Linked DNA regions of Caenorhabditis elegans. The protein of the gene in region 1 purifies or fractionates together with the protein of each later gene. This does not show direct contact. Each region holds a gene or a part of one and is shown in the gene's direction. Other genes may lie near its edges.

Region 1 (3,324 bases):
GTCTAGAATCAAATTGGAATACGATGGTAATTAACAATGCTTTTAAAAAAAATTGAATTTGCAAAGGTCTAAATAATTTCCCATGCTCCATACGAAGAAAATGATTACTCAAATTTAACCGATATTCATGAATTGTAGAAAAATAACTTTCTGGTAATCGTCAAATTGTTTGACATTTTCCTTATCAATAATTAATCATCAAAATTATTGAGGAGAAAAAATCAGCTTCATGACTAAATTACATCACTACTAGCCGGAAATGCCATCATTGAACTTTTACGGACACGTGGCTCCTGGGTATACTTGAAAATCTTAAAGGTGGAGTACCGAAATCAGAGACTTTGTTTTTAGACCCAAAATAGCCCAAAACTACCGAATTTCGTAATGAGACGTTTTCAAAACTTCGCAAAAAAAAATTATGGCGGTTCAAAGTTCTGGAAAAACAGACCCATTTTCAGCTAAAATAAAATTTTCATTCTTTGATAAATATTGTGGTTTTTTATTAGGAGTTTATTGTTTGATTAAAGTGCATTTTCGGTCATTGGGGCACAAAAACATAGCTTTTATTTGTGCCCCACTGGCCGAAAATGTACTTAAACCAACGAATAAATGCGCATTAAACGATCACATTATTTATTAGAAAGTGGTAATTAAATACAAATTAACTTCCAGACGCAGCGACACCGAGAAGTTGGAAACAATTTGATTTTAGCTGAAAGTGGACCTTTTTCCAGATTTTTGAACTGCCATAACGTGTTGAGAAATTTTCAAGATGTCTCATTACGATATGCGGTAGTTTTGAGCCTAAAAAGCAAAGTCTCAGATTTCGGTACTCCACCTTTAAGCTTTAAGTTACTGTAAACTCAAGTTTCAGAAGTTTTTAAAAGTTCAATTTTTATAGTATTGGAAAGTTTACCACATACAATTGCAATATGGCTTAACGGAGGAAGATTTTAAGAAAATGCCACATTGAAATTCTCTGAAGATTCATTGAAAGGAAAAGTACTATTTATAAGTCAGCATTAAAAAAACTGCCACGTTATATATTGTTTAGCGCTAATAAAAACCCAAGCTATTAAAGAAAATTGCGGTATCTTCTGTCTTCAATGTCAGCGGGTTTTATTACATTATTGATCGGTTTTTCTTGGTGAGCTGGTATGTACCAAGTTCTCCCTGTAACTTGGCACTTCGATAATAAGGGTTGTAAATGGTGACGTGTGGAACGAGGAACAATTAAATAACTAAAATACGAATTTAGGTTGAAAAACTCCTAAAATAAAACAATTCAGAGATTTTGCAAATTTGTTAAAACTCTAGAATTTTATCACTACTTCCTCTCTTGACGTTTATCAGCACACATCTTAATTTCCAAACTAACTCGTGACATTCTTTATGCCGGGCTGAATTTTTCATCGAAAAGCCTTTTTCAGTTCAGTAAACAAGCAACTTATCATCGAAATAGTTCGAGGCGGAGCATATGCCAACTCATCAATAAGTTGATAAGAAACACTGCTTATAAGAGACGATGGCAGGTGTACAATGTACTCAAGCCTTTTTTTCCATGATTCATGTAGTAAGGAATTCTCTAGAATCGTATTTGATGACTCATAGGCAAGAATCCGCCCATTCTGTGATGTATAAATAGATGAGGATTGTTTACATTTATTGCCCAATTTCTATTTTTTTTTCGTTGAACATTTTCCCCCAGTAGACACCGAGAATTGTTTACTTTGCCGAGGGTTTTTCATACGCTCTTATCAACTTTCAAACTACTCGGCTTTTCGATCTTTAGACATTTTACATCACCTAGTGATAAAACATGCGATTTAGAGCCAAAGAATCAGCTTACAATTCTCATAGATGTACATTTTATACGAATAGTGGTCTTAGTATTGCTCCTAACATGTTTCCCTTCCCAACTCACACAGTTGATTTCAGAATCAACCATGATCGGAGGAGGAATCGGAATCAGCTTCCGCAACGAATTCTTCAACCCACAAACCCCAGTGAACATCCCAGTGCAAGGATTCTCCAACGGTGCTCGCCTCCGTCTCGTTCTTCTCCCAACATCCGCCGATTCTCGTTTCCACATCAATCTTCGCACTCCAGACGACATTGTTCTTCACTTCAACGCTAGATTCGATGAGGGAGCTGTTGTGAACAACTCGACCAGCGGAGGAGGTTGGCAATCCGAGGATCGTCACGCCAATCCATTCCAGCAGAACAAGATCTACACTCTGGAGTTTGTGTCCAACGGTGGAATTATCTCGGTTAGTTGGATTCTGGGCTTAAGAATGTTAAGGCGGACTGTGTTCGTGCAAAGCACGTGGTGCCAGACTGTCTCGTTGCGGTTTGATCTACAAAAAATGAGGGAATTTTTCGTGACATCAGCACACTCTTAATCATGCGAAATCAGTTGAGAAGTCAGCGCCTCTTCGGCCGCATTTTTTGAAGATCACACCAAAATGGGACACTTCGACACCACGTGGAAAAGTTTGATTTTTCGTACTCCCATCTCTGATGAGCATTGGATTTCGAGCCCTGTTCACCTACTGAAACTTAATCTTTAAACTATTATATTTTTCAGATCTTCGTCAACGGAGCCCACTTCGCTGACTTTGTCGAGCGTACTCCATCCCACGGAGTCCATCTCATTGAGATCGAGGGAGGAGTTCATGTTCATTCCGCCCATGTTTCTCACTAATTTATTTAATTTTTGGTTTAAAATACTCTTTCTTTATGATACATTTTGAATTTTTGTGCAAATTTCATATCAATAAACCTTGGTTTTGAATATTTCTATTTTCTAAATTCCGAAAAATGGATTCGCAGACACTGAGTCGAAGCGCCATATTTTACGCGCAATTTCGGCAGTAATGGTAGAGGTCACCGCTATAAAGTTGATAATTCATAGTTTATTATTATGAAGCATCAGTTTTAGCGTGCTTAGCGTCCCCTAATACTTTTTAATCATTACTTAGTTCCAAAGGGCATTTTCTCTTAAAACTTCTTATCTCGAAAAAATAGTGAAGGAATTCGATTTATTCTTCGGAAAAGATTTTTTTTTGAAAATTCTTAATCAGATTTTCACTTATTTTCTTTTAATAAAGCTTTATTTTCTATTTTATATCCACTCGTTCATTTAAAGCAAGTTTCAAAAACTGAAATCGAGGAAAATACTATTTTAGGGTACTGTAGTTCCTGTTCGGTGCAAACACTGTGGCTGCGGACCGGGCACCTTATTTGACGCACAAAATTTATTTGAATTATTTTTTTTCATTTTCTCTTCGTTTTTGTCTATTTTCCAGCCAAAATGCCTGTTTT
Region 2 (7,587 bases), on another chromosome or scaffold:
CGCGCATAACTTTTTGTTTGTTCTTTTTTTTTAATTTTCTCCTTTTCTTTGAAGATTCTAAATCTTAATTGTTGAGCGATCTTTACAATAAAATTATTTCTCGACACAAAATAATATTCAAAACAAAAGCATTGCCACTCCATTAAAGGTGGCCTATCACATATCATATTTTGTCGGTCTTCCGTTTTAGCAACAACTAATACATATTGGTATTGAGCGCGTTTAATGGTTGCCACAGTTTTCAATTTTCAATTAATTCAAATTTCAGCTGTATAACCGTGGATTTTTTTAAATTAAACAAAAAATTATTCGAAAATTGCTAAAGGAAGATCGGGAGAAGGCATCGGTCAAAATTTCTCGTACTTCGTTTTTTTTCGCAATTTCCTTACTAATATGATGGAATACTACAGTTTGAAACAATAAACCCACCTTTAGGCCACCTTTAGACTACCTTTAACCCAAAGAAAACAACTTGAAATTAAACAAGAATTGTAGTGTTTTTAACTGATATTTGGCTAACTAAGTTTTTTTGTTGATCTGTTGTCAATATTACACTGGCACTAAAATTACCACAGTGCGCACTATGAAACCCAATTTTTCCAGCATGGAATTTTAAAATATCGATCAATGTTGTTTCAGATACATTATAAAATTTTTAGATTCAAGGCTCTCAAAGAAAGAAATAATTAAATTGAATTTTGATTTTTTGATATTGAAATTTCCTTTCGAATTTCCGTGTTTTATGATCAGTGCTGATAACAAACGAGTGAGATGTGGCAAAAGGTAAACAAAACAATAAGTGGTGTAGTTTTGGAATGTCAGTAAGCGTTTCTGAAATTACCTGATTTTATGGAAATGGGTGTATTTTTCCCACAAACTGCTCAAACTGGCATACTGTACTCAACTAGATAGAAGCTAAAAATCGAATAGCCCCAGCGGGAAAATTCTTAAAATTTAGATAAAATAACCAAATTATTACTTACATCGTAGTTTCACAGTATTTATGGTTAAAAAAATCTGAAAACAAATTCCGCATCCCTGTGGGCTTTTTTGAGTTTTTCAGTCAAGTTTTCTCGCACTTTCTCTTGTCTGTACTTTCCCTTTCATATTCTTACTAATATGACCGAGTACTGTAGTTCGAGACAATAAACCCACAAGACCACCTTTGAATCAACGAATTGACGCAAAAATGTGCAATAAAACCAAATTTCCTGCTCCAAATGCCTTTTTGAAGCTCTTTTTCTTTGTTTGTTTCTTTTGCAGCTGAAGTCAATAATTTTGTATTCTGCTTCACAAGTTTCGCCTTCAAGGTTCTGAGAATCCACCCACTTTGTGTTTTATCGAAACTACAGTTAACAAGGACCGATTGCCGATTATGAACCAATTTCGACAATTTTGACATTATAAGAGGCTTAATTCACTCAATTTACATTAGTCAGGTACTCAATTTCTTCTTTCCGCTCGGAGAAGTCGCACTCATGTTTTAACAATCATTTTCCTATTCTTCATTTGTTGAAATTGAATATTTAATTTGCCACTAACACATTCAAATTTCAGATGCGCTTGGGCATTTTCCTGCTGGCACTTGCCGGCTGTTGTAGTTTCGCTAGTGCTAAACAAAACTGCTTAGTCGGAAATCTAATTGTATCGGAAAATGTTATTACATCAAAGTCTGTTGAATTGGTACGTCCAACCGATATAAATTCTATATTTTTCCATTTGACTACTTCAGAGAGAATGCGAAGGATTGTGCAGAAAACAAACTGTCAAATCTCCAAGCGGAGGACTTGTTCTCTTGACATGCGAAGAGAACAAGCTCATGGCTTTCATTAACAAAGGACAGGATTGCTCCAGCAGTGAGCTTGAGACATCATGCTTCTGCGAGGATGAGTTGTGTAACAAGGTCGACTTGGAAGAAAATATTCCAAAGCCAATCGAAGTTATTAATGCCCCAAAGTGAGTTTTGTTATCACTGTTTTTTTGACAACTGATAGGAATTGAGGTGTATATCTTCTTTCTTTCTTTTTCAAAAAAAAATGGACCAATTCATTCAATTATTGGATTAAAAGATCTGTATGAGTACCAAAACAACAATTTTTCATCTTGAGTGTTTCATTAACACTTTTTCAAGCAAATGCAATTTGAGAATGTGTACCTTCAAATTCGTTGATTTAAAAAAAAAACTCTCATAAAATATTGTAATTTGAAAACTGCAAAAACCAGTCCAAAATTCCAAAGCTTTATTTTGCTATATTTAATCCAATTTCAATTTGTGACTACAGTCAACGTCAAACTGATAACAATAATGGAATAATTGTTTTACATTTGGGCGCGCTTCTTATCTGATTGTGCCAATAGCGCATGCAACACAACCATGAAATGTGGCTCGATAGCTCCTCGGCATTTAAATTCCGAAATACCAATCGTGTGATAAGAAACTGATACATATGTAGTATATTTTTGGCGATCGCCAAAATTTTCCTAGGAGGAAAATCAAAGAAAAATAGTAAAATACTGATTTTGTGTGTTTGCAGCAATATCCTCTGCTACGTCGGATTCTATGCCAACAACACTACTCCAGGATTCGGATCAGGGGACACCGTCACTTGCTCCGCAGGAAATGTATGTACCAGTGTTTCTGGAGTCTACAACGGATACGACGCTGCTGCCTACGCTTGCATGCCACAAGGACTTTGCGACGGCATCTTCCCAAATATTGACCCAAATAATCCAATCGCCTGCACCAATCTCGCTGGAACCAACATTCAAGGATGCTGCTGTTACAAGCAAGATTGTACTAGCCTCGCTCCAATGAACAACCCACCAACTCCATCTCCATGGAACAAGAACAACCAGACATGCTATCAAGGAATTTCCGTCAACGGAGCTCTCTTGTATGGAGGATCCTTCTCTCAATGCTTGGGAGAATGCGGATCTGCTCGTATTCGTACCACTTACAATGGAGCCAATGTATGGGGAGAGATCTTCGTTTGCGACCCAGTCAACGTCTTCACTGCTTTGAACCTCGACAGCGGATGCATGAACCTTGACACCCAAAACATCAATGGAGTCCCAACCGCTCTCATCACCGGCTGTGCCTGCAACAGCATGGACAAATGTATTGACCCAACTGTTGTTCCACCAGTCTACCCAGTCAAGCAGCTCAGATGCGCTGTCGGACTTTACAATGGAACAACCTGGCTCGGAGCTGAAATGAACTGCCAAGGACGATGTGGACGTGTCAGGTTCAATGCCAACGGACAACAAGTTTCATACTTCACTTGCATGCCATACGATGTCTGCGCTGGATTCGGACTTGCTTCCACTGAAGGACAAACCTACAATCCACCACAAGACGAGGAACTTGAGGTGTACTGCTGCTCTGCTAGCAACAACTGCAACGTTAACAATCCATACATTCTCGGACGTGTGAATAACTCTGCTGTGTCTACCGCCAAGTATCCAGTTCTCTGCTACGGAGGAATCTGGGTTAACGGAGTTTCCATCACCAACTCTGCTTACGGACTCTGCCAAGGAGAGTGTGCTTCAGCTAGCTTCACCACCACCTTCGCCAACCAAGTTCACAATGCTACCATCTACACTTGCGATCCAGTCACAATGTGCCAACAAGCCGGAATCTCCAACTCTTGCGGAAGCGTTCTTGGAGGAGTCAATGCTTGCTGTTGCGACAATGATCTTTGCATTGATCCAAACAGAGGATCTCAACGCCCACAACTTCGTTGCTATTCTGGAGTTTCTATTCCACAAGACAAATACAACACTGGAGGAGACCAATTCTGTGATGGATGGTGCGGATCCTTGAACTCTGTTGTCAACGGAAAGAACGCAACTGTCTACTACTGCGCCCCAGTTGGAATGTGCCGCTACTTCGGACTCGGATTCGGAGGATCTTACGGAAACTGTGGACAAATCCCAGGAGCTGACCCACAAGTCACTGGATGCTGCTGCTCAGAAACTGACAACTGTCTTGCCCCAGCTGGAGTCAACGTCACTGCCATCCCAGCTCGTCGTGACCCAAGAATTGTCTGCTACGAAGGAATCCATCTCAACGGACAAAACATCAGCCAGCCTTACTACCGCATGTGCGACGGAGAATGTGTGTCTGTTTCCCTTGGAGGAACCGTCAATAACAACTCTCACTACGCTACTCTCTACACCTGCGATCCAAGCAGTGCCTGTGCCGCGATGGGACTTCGTAACAACTGCTCCACCATTGACAACTCTCTCACTGCTTGCTGCTGTGACTCCAATGAGTGTATTGATCCAACCTACAACCGTGTTCCAGGAAAAGCTCTCAAATGCTACGTCGGTATCAGCACCCAGCACAAGGGAAACATCGCAGGAGCTGAAGTTCTTTGCGACGGATATTGTGCCACCGTTTCCGCTGTTGTCGGATCCGACTATGTCACCGCCTTCCATTGCGCTCCAAGATCTATGTGCCGTTCCCTTGGACTTGACAACTCGAACAACACTTTCTACTTGGACAGATTCGTCAACGCGTACTGCTGTGATGTCTTCGACAACTGCAACGTTGCTACGTCTGGATTCAACGTCACCATTCCACCACTTGCACCAAATGAGATGCCACGCGCTTGCTATTCTGGAATTTTCATTGGAGGAAGCCAAATCTCTGACGGAGGATGGACTGCTTGCAAGGGAGATTGTGTTGCTGTCAACTTGAACACCACATACAACGGAGTTGCTACCACTGCTTCTCTTTACACGTGTGACCCATCTTACATCTGCAGAATGATGAACTCAACAAACAGATGCCACCAACAAGAACAAGGATTCGAGACTTGCTGCTGTGACAGCGATGCTTGCCTCGATCCAACATCCACCCCACCACGTAAACCATATGGAGATGGAAACCTCTGTTACGTCGGAGCTTACTCCTATGATTTGAAGGGAAATACCATCTTCAATGCCGGAGGAGAACAATACTGCGAAGGAAACTGCGCATCTGTTACTTCAACACTTGCCAACGCTAACGTCACTGTTTACGCTTGTGTCCCAACATACGTCTGTAACAGCTTGTACGTCTATGACAGCTGCCGCACACTCTGGTATGATAGAGATATCACTGGATGTTGTTGTACCAATGGACCTAACTGCAACTTGAATCAAGTTGTTCCAAGACCTCCAATCAACAATCCCGGAAGAAGACGTCCACGTGTTGAATATCCAATCACCTGCCCAGCTGGTCTTATCGTTGACGGATTCAACCAAACTCCAATGGAATTCTCCGTTTGCTTCGGTGAATGTGCCTCTGTCAGCATCAATGCTACGATCAACGGAACTTTGCACACGGCTTCCTTCTACACTTGTGATCCATCGTCTGTCTGCTACCAACTTAAAGTTCATAACAACTGTACTTCCCCAGAAGCTGGAGTCACCGCTTGCTGCTGCGACAGTGATGCTTGCCTCGATCCGAACAGAGGAAAGACCGTTCCAACTCCACCACTCAAGTGCTACGTCGGGCTCTATTCTACCAGCGTGCCATCACTTCAAACCGGAGCTGAACAACTCTGTGACGGCAAGTGTGCCTCGGTTAACGCTCGCATTGCCAATGACAACGTGACCCTCTTCGCTTGTGTTCCACACTCTCTATGCCGTTCCCTCGAGCTCTACGATTCCTGCGCCCGCATGGAGCCATACTACCCAGAATTCCGAGCTTGCTGCTGTGACAATGCTGATAACTGCAACGTTCGACAGACCCATCTTGCCAACGTGATCAACACCACCATTCCACTCACTCCACTCAATGATGCTCCAATATCTTGCTACTCCGGACTTTTCATCAACGGAACCGCTTACAGCTCGGCTGGATGGCAGACTTGCCAAGGAGAGTGTGTCTCAGTATCCATCACATCTCAATTCAATGGACAAGCCGGAACCGCTGCTCTTTACACCTGCGATCCATCCCGCGTTTGCCGTAATTTGAAAATTCTGAACAAGTGCTCCACTCTTGAGAACGGAATTACCGGCTGCTGCTGTAACACCAATGCCTGTATTGATCCAACAGTCTATCCAGCTCGTAACCCAGGAAACCAACTTATGTGCTATGCTGGTATCAGCTCGAACTACATTGTTAATGGAAGCGCAGTTAACGTTGGAGCTCAAATTCCATGTAACGGACAATGCTCATCCCTCTCAGGAGTTGTCGGTGGATTCCAAGTCAACACCTATCACTGCATGCCAAACTCGATCTGTAACTCCCTTGAACTCTACGACAACTGCAAACCAGTTTGGAATGACAACCAAGTCACTGGATGCTGCTGTAACAATGCCAACAACTGTAACATTGCCAATACCACCATCACTCCACCACCACCACCAACTTCAGTCGACTATGCTATTGCTTGCTACACTGGACTTTATGTCAACGGTGTTCCATCTACTCCAGTCATTCTCGGAGCTTGCCAGGGACAATGTGCGTCCATCTCATTGAACACTACACTCAACGGAGTTGCCACCACAGCAACTCTTTACGGATGCGACCCAAGCACTGTTTGCCAATCTCTCAACATGAACAACTGGTGTGCCTCCCCAATCCCAGGAGTCTCCGGATGCTGCTGTAACACTGATCTCTGCCTTGATCCACCAAAGAACAAGACTGTACCATCTGGATTCCGCAAGTGCTTCGCTGGAATCTACGCTCAAGGAAAGGCCACTGGATCTGAAATCTTCTGCCCAGGAAAGTGCGCCTCAATTCAAGCTACCCTCAACCAAGACCCAGTTGCTATCTTCGGATGCGTGCCAACCCAATTCTGCAGACAACTCGAGATGTACGACGAGTGCAAACCACTTCCATATGATACCACAGTTACGGGATGCTGCTGCGACAACTACAACAACTGCAACGTCGATTTGGCTGGATATGGTGGAAAGATCAATACTTCAATGCCAGTTACGAACTTCCGTGATTATCCAATCGCTTGCTTCTCTGGTCTTTACGTCAATAACATGCCAATTTCCATCGCTGGTTGGCAAGCATGTAAGGGAGAATGCGCTTCTGCTACTCTCTCAACCATGTACAATGGAGCTCTCACCAACGCTACAATTTACACTTGCGATCCAGTCAGCACATGCTATCAACTTGGAATGAACAACAATTGTACTACCATTGAGAATGGACTTTCCGGATGCTGCTGTTCTACCGATGCTTGCCTCGACCCAACTGTTTCTCCACCACGTACTCCTAACCCACTCAAGTGCTACGTTGGTCTACAATCTACCTACAATTCGTTGAGCCTCGGAGCTGAGACCTATTGTTCCGGACAATGCGCTTCATTGACTGGAATCGTCGGAGGTTTCAATGTCACTACTTATCACTGTGTTGCTGATACTATCTGCAAATCTCTTGAGATTAAGGATACTTGTCGTCCACTTTGGAGTGACAGAGAAGTCACTGCCTGCTGCTGTAACAACGCGGACAACTGCAACCTCAAGGATCCAAATGTGAAACCAGGACCAGCAGTTCTTCCAGATTTCCCAACTGCTTGCTACCAGGGACTCCTTGTCAACAACCAAACATACGGTGCTCCATTGACTCTTCAAGGATGT

The links. The genes of interacting proteins can lie anywhere in the genome.
Region 2: the proteins of lec-6 (region 1) and gfi-1 purify together in Caenorhabditis elegans (affinity purification with mass spectrometry, with the first as the bait; 2 studies listed by BioGRID). This does not show direct contact.

What each region holds. Positions count from the first base shown.
Region 1 is NC_003281.10:598,981-602,304, reverse strand, and holds lec-6 (Galectin), read left to right. Parts: upstream 1-1,938; 5' UTR 1,939-1,946; coding exon 1,947-2,270; intron 2,271-2,587; coding exon 2,588-2,704; 3' UTR 2,705-2,795; downstream 2,796-3,324.
Region 2 is NC_003283.11:6,393,892-6,401,478, reverse strand, and holds the start of gfi-1 (ET module), read left to right. Parts: upstream 1-1,547; 5' UTR 1,548-1,557; coding exon 1,558-1,683; intron 1,684-1,732; coding exon 1,733-1,956; intron 1,957-2,534; coding exon 2,535-7,587.